Linked DNA regions of Notamacropus eugenii. The protein of the gene in region 2 interacts with the protein of the main gene of each other region in a pairwise test. Links are inferred from orthologs where the notes say so. Each region holds a gene or a part of one and is shown on either strand. Other genes may lie near its edges.

What was found. The genes of interacting proteins can lie anywhere in the genome.
Region 1: the proteins of CEP70 (region 2) and EMD interact in binary tests that used the Homo sapiens proteins (3 or more experiments, as listed by UniProt). The two-hybrid records come from large-scale screens. The link is inferred for Notamacropus eugenii from reciprocal best matches to the Homo sapiens genes CEP70 and EMD.

Annotation. Positions count from the first base shown.
Region 1 is NC_092879.1:9,699,845-9,708,000, forward strand, and holds the start of EMD (emerin), read right to left. Parts: upstream 3,392-8,156; 5' UTR 3,210-3,391; intron 3,094-3,209; 5' UTR 3,085-3,093; coding exon 3,003-3,084; intron 2,558-3,002; coding exon 2,459-2,557; intron 2,336-2,458; coding exon 2,261-2,335; intron 538-2,260; coding exon 365-537; intron 1-364. UniProt on the Homo sapiens protein: Stabilizes and promotes the formation of a nuclear actin cortical network. Stimulates actin polymerization in vitro by binding and stabilizing the pointed end of growing filaments. Inhibits beta-catenin activity by preventing its accumulation in the nucleus.
Region 2 is NC_092876.1:328,657,367-328,665,604, reverse strand, and holds the start of CEP70 (centrosomal protein of 70 kDa), read right to left. Parts: upstream 3,468-8,238; 5' UTR 3,450-3,467; intron 1-3,449.

The DNA of each region.
Region 1 (8,156 bases), on a different chromosome or scaffold from region 2:
TCCTAGTGACATTTTCATGGAGTTCAGAGGTCACTTAGGAGTTTTGCTGGTTGCCCACAGGCCTGAGCTAGATACCTCTGGTGTCAGAGACTGCAAGCCAGCCTCAGAACAGGAAAAGCTGGCTCCAAGTCTTACTATTCTCTGACACATGGGGTCTGGGGGGCCCTAGGTGCTCTGGGAAACTTGCTAAAGTTATGGTACCAGTATGTTGTGGCACAGGGGACTTCCTCATTGAGGAATTTGCTCCAATATCAATGGCATCACAGTCTAACCCTTCATCATTTAATAGTTGATATGGAAGACTGAAAGGTTAGCTGACTTTGGCACCTAGATGGTGGGGAGTGGGGCAGGAACTTTCACTTACCCGCTGGCGCAGGTGAAAAGTAGGTGGCTTGGAACTGCCACTGCTGTAGCTTGTGGAAGGCAGGGGTTCCTGGAAGCTGGTCCTGGTCTTGGCTGCTGGGATGGCTCCAATATCAGTCTCCCCATAAGTCTTGGTAGTTGAGTAACTCTCTTCATAGTAATTGTCATAGTCAACTAGAAGAGTCAGAGGAAGAAAAGGGTAGAGTGCCAGAGACCAAGGCTTTGGTAGAAGCAGCTAAGTGGGGCAATACCACCTGGGCACTGGAGGCACGAAGACCTGAGATCAAATCTGGCCTCAAACACTCACTAGCTGTGACCTTTCACTGCTGTCTGCCTTAGTTTCCATCCTGTAAAGTGGGGAGAATAAGAACATCTATACTCCCAGGGTTGCTGTGAGGCCCAAAGGATAATATTTGTAAAGTGCTAAGCACAGTGCCCAGCACATAGTAAGCACTATATAAATGTTGGAGGCCAAGGACTCCAGACTTGGGCTTAGAACAGCCTTGTACATTTGGAACTATGCCCAAAGGTCTACAAAAATGCGTATACCCTTTGACCCAGCAATATCACTTCTAGGACTGTATCCCAAAGAGATCATAAAAATGGGAAAGAGTCCCACATTTATTTATATTTATATATTTTATTTAATATCTATTAAATTTATTAAGTTATTATAATTATTAAAATAATACAATTATTAAATTGTTAGAATTTATTAAATTTATTATTTGATAAATATTTGTTAAATTTATTGTTGATTATTAAAATAATATAATTATTCAATTAATATAATTATTAAATTATTAGAACTTATTAAATTTAATATATTTATAGCAGCTCTCTTTGTGGTGGCCAAAAACTGGAAATCAAGGGGATGCCCATCAACTGGGGAATGGCTAAACAAGTTGTAGCATATGAATGTAATGGAATACTATTGTGCTATAAGAAATGATGAACAGAAAGACTTTAGAGAGACCTGGAAAGATTTATATAAACTGATGTTGAGTGAAAGGAGCAGAACCACACAGCCACAACCACAGTGTGTGATGAATTTTTCTGGTGGACTTAACCCACAGCAATGCAAGGACCTAAAAAAATTCCCAATGGACTCAAGGCAAAACGCCTTCCACATCAAGAGAAAGAACTAAGGAATTGGATTGCAGAATGAAGCAGACCATTTTCTCTTGTGTTATGTTTTGTTTTATGGTTTCTCCCATTCATTTTAATTCTTCTATGCAATGTGACTAAGGTAAAAATGTACTTAATAAGAATGTATGTGTAGAACCTATATAAGATTGCACGCCGTCTCAGGGAGGGAGTGGGGAAGGAGGGGAAAGATATATGGAAGTGATTGCAGAAAACTGAAAATAAAATAATTTAACAAAAAAAAAAAGAACAGACTTGCAGGCTGCCAAGGTCAGGCCCCAAGTGAGTTGCCTCCAACTATGAAATAATTACAGTCATCCTTGCTTCCCAAACTACCTGCTGTGGCTAATCCATGAAATGAGATCATGAATGAATGAATGGGCAGGCAATGTGACTGGGAGGAAAAGATGTCCATGCAAACAATAAGGATAACAGAAGCCAGCCCAGCCCAGTTGGGCCCTGGCACACTAATGCCAGGCTCAGCCAGAATCATAGGTCTCCTCCCTCACCTTTATCAGTGAGAGCCCTTGGAGCCTCGCTTGGGAGCAGCTCATATTTGTCTAGCCCAAAAGTACTGGCTTCTAGCTGCAGAGAGGGACAAGGGGTCACAGAACAACCAACCATGCACTTTGCCTCCAAACAGCCCCATGGCACTGCAGGCAGCTAGGGAAAGGCAATGCCAAACCAGGCCAGGCCCTACCACTCCTTAGGGTGAACCTGAAGCCTTCTAGGATACAGGAACCACACTCACCTTCATCACCTTCATCCATGTCCTCATCTTCATCCTGTCCCTGTCTGGAACCATAAGCTTCACCCTCAAAATCCTCTGTGGCACAACAGAAAGATACACTGTGAGAAAAGTTGCCTTCCTTAGTCACACTCCCCAAGTCATCCCACAACTGGAGAAGCATTTCATTTCTGCTCAATGAGTCCCACCCTTCCTCCTCACCTGCATATTGGTAAGAAGAGCTGGCAGTCACAGGGGAAAGCTTGGTTCTCTGACTTTCATATTCATAGATTTTCTTTTCATACAGTTTTCGGGTTGAACCTAGATTCACGGACGGACAGGTGAGTGTTCCCAGAGGTCCCAGAGAGCATCCCCCAAGTTTGGAGGGCCTTTGGAACTCAGGGGGGCCTGAGTGGTGATGGGGTGGGAAGGTGCACCCATGACGGGAGAAATCACAGAACTCCCACCAATCCACCAGGAGATCTCACGCTCTTACCGTGCAGGTGTCAATCAACAATATGCCCGATCACATTCGGTTTCAAGCGCTGAGGATCGGGAGGTGGCTTCTTGGGCATGGGACCCGCCAGAAAGGGCCTAGGTGCCCTCAGTTTACATATGGGATTGGGGGCGGGGCAGGCGGCCTCACCTACTCGGTGCCCTACCACACCCCCTAGGCTCCAGGAGGGATGGCGGAGATGTCGCCCCTTCCCTCTCCCCTCTCCCGGCTCCCTCCTCTCTCTGCCCCTCCCTCCTCGTCCACACTCACCCACGACGGGCCCGTGGGGGATGTTGTAGAGCTTCAGCAGGCGAGCGAGCTCCTGGTCCGAGAGGCCGCGGTAGTCCTCCATGGCGGACACCTAGGGGGAAGCCCGACGGGGCGGGCGCGGGTGAGCCGCAGCGATTCGAGAAGCTTCGACGTTCCTCGGCCGCCCGGCCCGCCCTGAGGAGAGAAGCCAGGGGCGGGAGTGCTTACCAGACAGGGCAGAGATGGCTGATCTCCTCAGCAAGCGAGCGAGCGAGCGAGGGACGCGACGGCGACGGCGGGCGGGCGGGCGACGACAGGCGCGACGGGAAGTGAGCGCCGGGGCGTGGTCTGGGCGTGGCCAGAGCCGAGGGGCGGGGCCTGTCCGGCCGGGGGCGCCAAGGCCCGAGCCCAGGGGCGGCGGGGGGCGGGGCTTGGCGAGCAAAGGGGCGAGGCGGGGCTGAGCAGGGACTGCGGGGGCGAGGCTGAGCTGGCCGACAGGGGAGGCCAAGGGGGCGGGGCCCAAGGCTCCAACTGCAGAGCCAAGGGCGCTAAGTGTCCATAAGGATCTCAGTGGTAGCCTAGTGCCTGTTTGCATGGCTCGTATTTTCTCGTCTTTTTATTCATTTTGCGAGGCACTGCCCAGTGCTGTTTTGGAGGCCCTTTGGTGTGGACCCCGTGGATTTGGCTCCTCAGACAGGGCAACAAAGCCTAACCATGAAACATTGTTACGTATTTTCCCCCCAGAACTTAAGAAGCATCCCTAAAAAGGATGAACCTCACCCAAACACATAGCAAAATAAATAATGCGGAAAAAATCAGGGCTCTCTAGCACATTCTTCAGGGGCCCCTGGGACCTCCCATTGTCTGGGTCTGTGGAAGGGGCAGCCACACAGTCCCTACCCCATTGATCATGCTTGACCACATGCCCTTGTGAGGCAGAGCCCTGTGCCCCCACTTCTGGCCTTGTATGGGAAGAAGCAGGAGGGGCTTTGGAGTCTGGGGTCGTTTAGGTCATTCTTCTCTCGTTGCTGACTCATCTTCAGCCCCTGTAATTGGAGAACTTGCCTGTTCTGTAGCTACATAACAACAGAGGCTCTGGGCAGAAATCTGGTAGGGCAGCCATCAAAGTTGTTGTGTTGTGGTTTGTCCTTACTCAAAAAGGACCAGGACATCTGGGAGATGATGATATGACTTGCATGGAATTGGATTTGACTGACCATCAAATGCACTAAACAGCCCCAGCTCCTTGAAACTCCCTCCCATTTCTATACAAACAAGGCCAGTGAAGGGCGCACAGTAGCTAGAACATACAAAATGGCCCTGAATCCCAAGAACCCCCTGCCATTTCTACATAAAGCTTCTGGCCAGTAAAAGAAAAAATTCACTTGCCAAAAGCACAACAGCCCAAGACTAGATTTTGCAGTGTTTTTTCTTATCCTCCACCCAGAGCAGCTCATGAAACAGTAAAATACCATAACCCCCTCCCCCTCTCCAGCCTGCTGAACTATTTTGGCTTCTGCTGCTGCAATTACACTCAACAAGAATTTATTTTCCACCAGCAGCTTTCCTTAGTTTCCATTTCACAAAATTCATGTCCCTACAAGATACTCTTGGTGGCTCCTGACCCCCTTTTCAGCTTTCTTTTGTGTATTGTGCTTGCCCCATTAGATTGTGAACTCCTTGAGAGCAGAGGCCCTCTTTCTTTTTCTTATCTGTATCCTCAGCGCTTAGCACAGTATCTGGGACATAGGAGGTACTTAATATATCTTTACTGACTATTTCTTAAGAGTTTGGGATGCATGACCAACAAGATGGCAGCCTAGATATTTTCACAGATCCTCAGGAACTCTCAGACCTCTCCAAAATGGGAATTATGAGTGGGAGCTAAAGCAATTTCAGCTCTCTACAGGGTATAAGACATCAAATATCCAAACAAGGTAAAAACTAAATTAACCAACAACAGAAAAAGCCAACATTCCCTACCCTCTAATGAGCCCTCACCCAACATCCCCTCCTCTGCCATTCACTAAGCTCCATTCATTGGCAACAGACCTCAATTCCATACCCACCCCCAACCCCCATCCCTACCCACAGTGCAGTAGAGATCCAAACTCCAAATAGCAGAAGTTCACTCAGGCTGTCATAGCAGCATGGCAGCATTCTGTGCCATCGGACCAGAGAACTGAGGGACAGAGAGAATGGGCAAAAGGGGGAAGAGGAAGTAAGAAATGTATGGCACTTCATTGAGCCTGAGAAAAAGAGCCCAGCATGCAGGTGTGGCCAGTTCTACCCACTAAAAGTCATTTGGAGCAGAGACCTAGTAAAGGCTAGTAAACCAGGAATTAACCAGCAAAGGAGGCTGAGACACTTAACATCCAGCCCCTATGAAAACCATCAAAGGGGAGGGAGTGAGAAAGTAAGCAATAGAGGAAGGAAGCTATTTTTTAAAAAGATTAAAAGTACCAGAGGAAGAAGCAGATAAATTGGTCATGAAGAGCTTTGAAAGTCAAACAGAACATTTTGTATTTGATCTTGGAGGCAAAAGGGAGCAACTGGAGTTTACTGAGTACACTGGGGGAGGAGGTAGAGGGTGACAACATAATCTTACCTGCACTTTAGGAAAATCATTTAGTAGCTAAATGGAAGGTGGACTAGAAAGGAGAGAGATGAAGCAGGCAGACCCACCAGCAAACTATTGAAGTAGTCTAGAAGCACGGAGATGAGGACTTGCACAAGGGGGATGGCAGTATCAGAGAAGAAAAGATGAAATATTAGAGAAATATTGCAGAGATGAGATGGACAGATCTTGATAACAACTTGGATATGGGGGGGGGGGGTGAAAGATAGTGAGGAATCCAGGATGACTCCTGGACTGAGAGACTAAGGTGCTAGGAGGGTGGTGATGAACTCTACAGTAAAAAGGAAAGATGGGAGAGAAGAGAGAGGGTTTAGGGGGACAGAAAATGAGTTCTATTTTGGATATATTGAGTTTAAGATGTCTACTGAAAATCTAGTTCAAGATGTCTGAAAGGCAGTTGGAGATTAGAGAGTGGAGACCAACAGAGAGATTGGGCCAGGAAAGGAAGATGTGAAAATGGTCAGCATAGAGATGGTAATTAAACTCATGGGATCTGATGAGATCAGCAAGTGAAATAGTGTAGAAGGAGGAGAGAAGAGAGCCAGGACAGAACCCTGAGGGATTTTAAGTGTCCCTCCAGTGGAGGGTGTGATTTGGATTAGGATCCAGCAAAAGAGATAGACAAGGAGATGTCAGAGAGGTAGTAGGATCCCAAAGTAGTAGTAAGATCCCAAGTAAAATCAGTGTTTAAAAGAAAGAACCCAAAATAGGAACCTCAAAAGGCTTAATTCCACAAGATACACAGAGAAAAGAGAATGACTAAATAAATTTGTGGGCCATGAATCAAAGAATAAAGGTCTAAACTAGGCAGAAAGGGAAGATAAGTGATGAAGAGAATGAAAGAAAGAACTTCTTTTTAGAAAAAAGATACAGGAAATAAAAATTTTAAAAACTAACAAAGCACTGATCAGGAGGAGAAAAAAGAGAATTCTACTTGATTACTTAACCAAGAGGGGGAAAAGAAGGGAAGAATTAAATAAATAAATTTTAAAAAATAAGAAACTAATAAGCAAAACTCCAAAAATCAGGAAAAGGAGCAAAAAATAGAAAATGGGACTTGTGGATGAAGGGGGAAAAGCCAGTGGGAATAGGGCCACCTTAAAAAAAAGATTAAGGTAAAATAACTGAAGAGACATTATACTGTGTTTAGAATGGGAAAAAAACCCGTAATTTGTAGAAAAACAGCATTAGGAAAAACTGGAGGAAAACATAAACCCAATTTGTAGCTTTAAACGTGATTGGGTTAAACAATCCATAAAATGAAAGAAAGTGACAGATTGAATAATAAAACAAAACTCCACAGTCTGATTCTTACAAGAAACATATTTTTTGAAAAAATGGGGAGGCAGAGCCAAGATGGTGGAGTAGAAGGACAAACCTGCTCTATGTCTCCCCCCATTGCCCATAAATACCTGTAAAAATGACTAAACAAATTCTAAAGCAGCAGAAGCCAAAAAATGACAGAATGAAACAGATTTCCAGCCCAAGACAGCCTGGAAGGCCAACAGGAAGGGCCTACTGCACCAGGTTCAGCACAGAGCACAGCCTGGTCTTGGCATGCAGCAAGGACAGGACTGGAGCATGTCTCAGGGTGCGGAAGCATGGGTAGCAGCTGAGTCTCCCAAATTTCTCAACCCACAACACCAAAGATAGTTTCAAAGGTCAGTAAGAAAGCTCTTTCACCTGGATGGGAGGGGAGCATGATCTGGCCCCAGCCCTGGCCCCAGGGCAGCAGCAGCCACTGCAGCAGCAGCGTCCACTTTTAGAGCCCTTGGCCTAAAGACCCTGGGGGAATCAAAGAGCTGATCTTCGTCCCAGTCCAGAGTAGCAGTCATGGGGTGAGAAGGAGCACTGGTGCTGGAGTGGTGGAGCAGGTGGTGACTGTGGAGAGGGAACCCTATTCATAATTTCAGGACAGAAATGAGTGATTGTGGTTGCTCACAGATCAGAGTACAGGCCAGGAGATTGTGCCCTTAATTGTGCCACCTTAGAGGAACTGAGAACTTACAGGTCCCTGGAGTATACCCTCCACTTGACAAAGGACTCAAAAGTCAAGTAACTGGCTGGGGAAATGTCCAAAAAAGGGGAAAAAAATAAGACTACAAAAGGTTACTTTCTTGATGAAAAGGTATTTTCTTCCATCCTTTCAGATAAGGAAGAACAATGATTACCATCAGAGGAGGACATCAAAGGCAAAGCTTCTACATCCAAAGCCTCCAAAAAAAATATGCAATGGTCTCAGGCCATGGAAAAGCTCAAAAAGGATTTTGAAAATCAAGTAAAAGAGGTGGAGGAAAAATTGGGAAAAGAAACGATAATGATGCAAGAAAATCATGAAAAAGAAGTCAACAGCTTGCTAAAGGAGACCCAAAAAAATGCTGAAAAAAATAACACCTTTAAAATTAGACTAACCCAAATGGCAAAAGAGGTCAAAAAAGCCAATGAGGAGAAGAATCCTTTAAAAAGAAGAATTAGCAAACTGGAAAAGAAGATTCAAAAGCTCACTGAAGAAAATAGTTCTTTAAAAATTAGAATGG
Region 2 (8,238 bases):
ATGTTCCCACCATCACTAAAAACAATTCCCCTCTTGACTTTTTTTTTTTTTAATGAGAATTACGTATCATCCTCAGAAGGCTCAGAACTTTGAACTTATATTTTACTTGTCCTTCTCTATTTACAGCGATTCTCTTTCCTTCTCACCTCCTCCCTCTGGCCTGATATAACCAGGTGGTTGCTGTCTCCTTTACAATCACTCTCCCATTGGTTCATTGTTTTCAAATATCCCTTGTTTGGGCCCTTGTGACCTGGGCTTATGCAGTAGTCTTTTAACTGGTTTCACTCTACAATCCTCCCTGTTTTCTGCTGTCTAGATTAAGCTTCCTAATTATAATTTATCTTACGTGACTCCCCAATACTGCCTCAGCAGCGCACAATAACTTCTCATTGCCTAAAAGATAAAGTTTAACCTCATTTTGACATCCAAGGATTAATATAGGTCTTTTATTTCAAGTTTTAACATTCCTTTCAAGCATCATCTCTAACTATTCTCATGCATTCATTCCAGAAAGAGGTATCAAATACCTGCTGAGGGGGGCTTCCATCCATATGGCTGCATCAGAGGTTTTCAGTTAGCCTCATTAGCTCAAAACAGACATTTGACAGATAAATTGAAGGAACAATAGAATATAAGAGAAAGTAAGGAATTTCTTATAATAACAACAGCAAAAAGACTTAAAAATGAGCAAGCAAATAAAAGTCCCCTGAAATAGTAAGAGAACAGTAAGAACTATCCAGAAGAAGAGAATATGTCCTATGATGAAAATCTCCAAGGAAGAATTGATGACTTTGAAGAGAAGTTATAAAACATAAGCAAGGCAATGGGTACTTGGTAAAAAAAGAATGGAAGAAAGAAAAAAGTTCAGTGATATTACTGCAGAGCCAAAAGACAGCAAACTTGGGAGGTCTTTGTAACAAAATATAATTTGCCTGAAATACAGGGCTTGGAGAGTCCACCTAAGAATTACTGAACTTCCAGAAAAACATTATTGAACAAAAAGTATGAGGATCATGCTTACTTCAGGAAATCAGAAAAATTGCCTAGAAATATAAGAATTAGAGGGTAAAGTAATCAATAGTATGCATAATCAATCAATAAACATTTACTAGGCACCTACTATGAACTTAGCACTGTGCTAAGTGCTAGGGATACAAAATGAAACAAAAGACAGTCTCTGCCCTCAGAAGAAGCTTACAAATGGGGAGACAAGATACAAATTTTACAGATAGATAGATAGATAGATAGATAGATAGATAGATAGATAGATAGATAGATGGATAGATGGATAGATAGATAAAGCAAGTTATATGCAGGATAAATAGAAAATAAAAGAGAGAAGGCACATGAATGAAGAGGGGTTGGGGAAGGGTTCCAGTAAAAAAAAAAAAATAGGATTTTAGTTGGGACTTGAAACCTAGGGAGGTCAGTAGTTGGAATGTAAATATTCCAAGCGTAGGGGACACCCAGAGAAAAATGTCCAGAGCCAAGAGATGGAGTGCCTTGTTTGTTAGACAGCCAAGAGGCTATTGTCACTGGATTGAAGAGTACATATCAGGGAGTAATGTATAATACTGGAAAGGTAGGAGAGGGGTTGGTTATGAAGGGCTTTGAATGCTAAACAGAACACTTTGTATTTGATCCTAGAGGCAATAGGTAGCAACTGGTGTTTATCAAGAAGAGTTTGGTGGCTGAGTAGAAAAAGGATTAAAGTAAGGCAAGAGTCTAGACAAGTAGACCCCCCCCCCCCCCCCAGTACGCTTTTACAGTAATCCAGATGCTGAGGTGATTCATGCCTACACTGGAGTGGTGACAACATCATAAGAGAAAAGAAAATATATTTAAGAGATGGTTCAAAGGTGAAATTGACATCCTTTTAAACAGATGGAATGTAGGGTAGGGAGGGGGGAGTAAGAGATAATGAAGAATCCAGGATGAGTCATAGGTTGTGAGACTCAGAGACTGGGAGGATGGCATTGCCCTCTATAGTAATAGGGAAGGTGGGAGGGAGAGAATTTGGGGAAGAGATAATGAGTTCTGTTTTGGATATAGTGTATTTATTGGACATTTAGTGGACATAAGGTATTTATTAAACATCCAGTTTAAGATGTCTGAAAGGCAGTTGGAGATGTGAGATTCTAGAAGTCAGCACAGAGTTTGATGTAAGATAGATAGATTTGAGAATTATCAGGATAGAGTTGGTAATTAAATCCATGAAAGCTACTGAGATCACAAAGTAAAGTACAGGTATCCCTTCCACATCACAATTTTCCCCACTGAGGTTTTGATATATCATGAATCAGCATAAGAAATTAAATGGGAATTTTGGGAGAATTTTACAGAAGCTGAAGATGACACATGGAGGCCAGCAGATGACACAGAAAAAAATCAGAAACTCAGAAAAAGTTTAGAAACTCAGAAATGCATAAAATATAGTCTATGACCAAAGACTTAACCAAACTTTACAATAAGGTACTGTAAATACCCCATAATAGAAAAAAATCAGACTTCTCTGGTATGAAGAGAGGGCAAAAAAAATTACACAGATTTTCCAGATTGTAGAGGTGCCATGCCCCTAGCACCCATGATGTAGAAGGGATAACTGTAGCATAGAGGGAGAAGAAAAGAAGGCCCAAGAAAGAAGCCTAGAAGACACCTATAGTTAGAAGGCATGATTTAGAAGAGAATCTAACAAAGGAGACAGATAAGGAGCAGTCAGATAGGTAAGATGAGAACCAGGAAATATCGGTGTCCTACAAACTTAGAGAGGAGAGAAAATCAGGTAGAAGAGAGTGATAAACAGTGTCAGTGGCTGCAGAGAGGTCAAGGAGAATGAGGATTAAGAAAAGACCATTTGGATTTGGCAGCTGATAGATCATTAGTAACTTTGGAGAGAGCAGTTTTGGTGGAATGATGTTTGGAAGCCCAACTATAAGGGGTTAAGAAAAGAGTGAGAGGAGAGTAAATGGAGGCCGCATCAGATGGCCCTTTTCAGGGAGTTTAGCTACAAAGGGCAAAAAAGATATAGAATGAGTGGAAACAGAAGGATCATTTGAAGTTTTTTTTTTTTAGGATGAGGGAGACATGGGCATTTTTGTAGGCAGTAGGGAGGGAATAGTAGTCAGTAGACAGGGAGAGGTTGAAAATAAGTGAAAGTAGGGATGATAGATGGGGCAATCTGTTGGATAAGATGAGATGGAATGGGATTGCTTGAACAAGTTCTGGGGTTAGCTTTAGTAAATAGTAAGGTAACTTCGTAATGTGAAATAGGGTTGAAGGAAAAGATAGTGACAGAAAGCATCTGAGTGACAGGAAATGATGAGACTGGAGAGCCACCAATAAAGAACCACCCCAGGTTTAAGTCACACAAAAATGTGATTGCCAAGCTTCAGAGATTACAGATCAAAAAGGAAATATTACAAGTGGACAAAAATAGGTAGATCACATACCAAGGAATGTCATGTAGAATCATGCAGGAATACTTTTCCTCAACAAAGAAGAAAGGGGGAAAAACTGGAATGCAATTTATCAAAAAGCAAAGCAAGGATATCCTTGTATCCAAGGACAATATCCTACAAAGTTGAGAATAATCCAAACATGGAGGAAATAGAACTTTTAGAAGAATTGATGACCTCTAAGCATTCCTTTTGAGAAATCTAGAGTTGAACAGTCTTGGAAATGGAAATGATTCCACAAAAGAAACTTAAGAAAGTTAAAAGAATCTACATAGCTGTGAAGAGCTAGGTGATACTGCAGTGCTTACAAACTGAAAGCAGGAAACAAGATTATTTTCCCTTGGAAGTCCCACTTAGCCTTTGAGAATCCTAGGTTATTTCTACCACTAAGAGAAGGCAGACATCAGAATAAACCTTAGTGAGCAGTTTGCTCTTATGGCATTGTGACACATTCTGCTGGACTGCAAAACTTGAACCAAAATACCATCTCTGTGCCTACTACTTCTCAAAAGTTTAAAGATAAAAAAAATCTGATTCTAGTCACATGACTAAACACATAGTGGACAACTAATTCAGGACTAAATAAACAACAATTCACACTTCTCTAGTACTTTGTAGTTTACAAAATACTTTCAAATACATCATCTCATTTGAGTATCACAATTGTGTAAGGTCAGTAAGAAATCCATATGGTACCTTTGTGAGCCACTGACAGCTTTAAAGTATCAATCAGTGAACAAGCGCTTACTAAGTGTCTCCTATGTGCTAAGAATTGTCCTTGTCCTCAGAGACCTTACAGTCTACTAGATGGATACAATAAACTGACAGGTAAATACAGAATATGTACATTTATCCCTGCTCGGAATTTGGCCTGTCAGGGTAAGAAGGTGGAGATAGTTTCCACCTGTATTCCACTGGCCTTGAAAGTAATTGACAGCAACACTTTATTTTTGTTTCTATTTTATTTCTTTGGGGCAGGTAAGTGAGACAGTAGATATAGTGCTGGCCCTGGAGTCAGCAAGACTCATCTTCATGAGTTCAAATCCTACCTTAGACACTTTCTACTTGTGTGGCACTGGATAAGTCACTTAAACCTGTTTCCCTCAGTTTCCTCATGTGTAAAAAGAGCTAGAGAAGGAAGTGGCAAACTACTCCACTATCTTTGTCAAGAAAAGCCTAAACAGGGTCATCAAGAGTCAGACACAACTAAAAAACAACAAAATTTTATTTCTTTAACTTTAGACACCAAATAAAATGAGCATTTCCATGTACATAGTAGAAGAGAAAAAAAGATTTTACATGAAAGTGTACATCTCTATTATGTACAGTTTGCTTTTTTTAAGTATATAATTAATTCAACATAACTTTCAAGGCTATCCTGCTTCTCTGGTATTCCTTCTCGACTTCCTTCAGTTCTGTTAATTTTTTTTTTTAATGCTTCAATACTGTTCTTTTTCTTTCATTTTTTTTGGTGGGGAGGGAACTCTATCCCTATCACCCACTTCTTCTCACCCTACCTCACTGAAACAAGAAAAACAAAATCCTCATAACAAATATTCATAGTCAAATAAAATATGCATAATCAACCAAAACAAATTCCTACATTGACCATCATTTCTCCCATTGGTCTTCTGGAATTGTGCTTGGTCCTTAAATTGATTAGAGTAGGCTTTTCTTATTTCACTGAATCAATTATTTTCTTGGTTCATCTCAACTCACTCTGCATCAGTATTAGCATTGTTTATCATCAAGCTAGAACTTTTCCCAAAGGAAGTACAAAGAAAATGATACAATGATACGTCCCATTTTTGTAAATAGCATCTTAGGCTACTCTTTCATTGTAAAACAATACTCTCCATGGGCAGTGACTTGACAGTTTTTTCTTAGATACCACTTGAGCAACAAATAGAATAAAATAAAGGAAAATAAACTGACAATGTAATTAATTACATAATTAGTCTGAATTTTAGAAAGACAACATTGTGTAGTGAAAAGAACTTTGAATTTAGAATAAAAGGGTCTAGATGTGAATCCTATTTTTGACTGGCCTAAGTTGCTGAGCCTCAGTTTCCTTATATTCAAAATAGAGATAATAAGGCTCACACACTCTGCCTTCCCCATAGAATGGTTGTGAGGTAAGTGTTTTGTAAAACTTGAGGTACTACACAAATGTAAGTTTTTTTTTCCCCTAAAACCCATGATTGTCTTATCCAAACTTTGCCTCTCTTGTGGCACTTAGCATGATTTTCTATACACAATAGGCTATTAAATACTACAGTCTTTGCTGAGCTCAAAGTGAGAAGCTCCTATCTACATCACAATCAGTACAAACTAGCCTCTTCAGCAATGCCTCCTTTTGGTTATTTCTGTGCATATGACTCATGGTTCTGACCCTATCCACTGAAAATGTTTTCTGCTTGGATCCAGCTGTTACAATTTTCTCAGCCCTCTCTGATCATAGTCTAGCAAAGTAGTTTGACGAGTGGAACATATTATGAAACATTTCAAAAGTTAATGTAAACTCTCTCAGTCAACATTTTTACAGTAACCATAACTAATAATCCCCAAGGCAAGATTTAATCTTTTTTCTCGATGACTGCTCGTGACCTATGGGAAAATAAACCTGAAGGATTAAAGAGAGTTTTAATGAGATATTATAATACACAGAACAAAAGGAAGTTCAGAAGGGGACACTGACAAATAGGGCATTTTTGTTACTACCATGTTAAATTTAACATATTTTTAAAAAATTGTATGTAACACGTTCAATTTTATGCAATCCTCTTTTCTTCTTTGCATGTTGAAGTGTTTGTGTTTAGTAAGTTCATAATGTAGCCCATAGAAACTCTGGGGATCCTTGATCCAACTCCCATTTTTACAGATGGACCTCAGGTCTTGTAAAAACATTACATATCCACCCCACCCCCCACCTCAGAGTTTGAGGAAAATCCAGGAGGTAATTCTCTAATGACATCAGCTCAAACCCCCACCAGCATGCTTCTTTCACCCCTGAGGTTATCAGTTGAGAATCATTTTAGTCAACCAGCCTTACGTAACTTTTACATATTTACTAAATTGGCATAATTAGCAAAGTTTGTAGAAAACATCTCCATAAAAGTCTGTGGACACAAGTATATAGAGACCAGGGAAAAGTCAACTCAAGTTTAGGGAACAAATGTTGCAAAGGGGTAGATCAGAGCTCTGGGTTTGATTTCTAAGCTATTTGTGGTTCTATAAGTCTATGCTCAATTTGTCTTTGGCTCCCAATGCAGACCCTGCCATCAGCTGATCTGGGGATACCACCAGAACACCAATAGGAAGATGAGAAGTCCAACATTCTCCGGACCCTTCAAAATCCATAAGGTCCTCCTCTGACCAAGGTTTAACTTCAGGTTTCTACTTCCAGTGCCCATGGTTCTTCCTAAAAGGGTTTTGTTTTTTTTTTAAATGTTGTAACCCCTCAAATTCCTCTAGTTTTAAGCAAGCTTGATAATTTATAGATGATTCCTGGAATGTGATCAAAAGTTTCTGTGCAATGTCACTCTAATTCAAAGGAATTTTTTCATTTATTGTAAAGCTGGGATTATTAACTTGTGTGTGTGTGTGTGTGTGTGTGTGTGTGTGTGTATGTGTGTGTTATAGACTCCTTTCGAAGTCTGACAGAACCTATGGACTCCTTAACATAATGTTTTAAAATAAAGAAATTTCATTTAGAAGTTAGTGGTGCAACTTTTCTTCCCATTCAGTTTCACAAACTTAACTGAAATCTAGCCATGGACCAATAGGTCTAAAGCCTACAATTGAGAGTGATTGGTTGTTTCTTTTTTTTTTCACTTTAAGAGGGGTAGCATGACTTGAATAAATCAGTCAGCCTCACCCTGACAGTAATAAAAAAAGGAAAATAAATAATATAGTAAATCTGGGAAGTTTAGTGGTTTATAATAAACCTCCTTTTACATACACAAAATGAATGGGAATTATCTCAGACATTGGCTACATTCTCTAGGGAAGCTAGCAGCTGCCAACTAGGTTGTGCTGGGCCAGATAATTTCTGCAATTCTGGGCCATGACTTTACCAATGAAGTTGCAGGATAGGATCTCAGCAACTCTACTTCTCCCTGGCTACTCCCATTCTGAACTGTCTTTTTGTTGTCATCAATAAAGCACAGGAGGATAAGGGGAAAGTGCTCAAAGCCCACTAGGCTGAGAACAGAGGCAGCAGCTGGTGGTTGCCAGATGGCAATGAAATAATTAAAAATGCTGTGGTACAGGACAAAGAAGCAAAGAACCTGAGACCCATTTTCTCTGCCTTAACCCAGATTTGAGCACACTGTTATAATCAAAGTCTTTCATGTGGAAGAGGGATCAGAACTAGAACCAGTAGCTAGAAGCTATAAAAAGACATTAAAAAAAAAAAAAGGTTTTATTGATGCCTGTTTTTATATTACATTAAAAACTTGATATGTTTCCATTCCTTTTCCTCCTTGTGGCCAAGAAAACCTGTTGGGGGGTGGGGAGGTCATATCTCACATTGAATACAACATTCTGTACCTGTAGTCCTTCACTTCTCTTTGGAGAAGAGAGAAAAATATGTTATCATCTCTAGGGTAGCAGATTTTGACTCCATATAAAAAACTCTCCAACACATTGCTGTGCAACAATGGAAGGAGCAGCTTCATGAGGTAATGAGTTCCCTATTACATCTTGGTTTAAAGCCTAAAAATTATCCTTTTTTCTGATGTGCAAAAAAAGAGGAGACTTTTCTCCCAAGGTTTTATTGAAG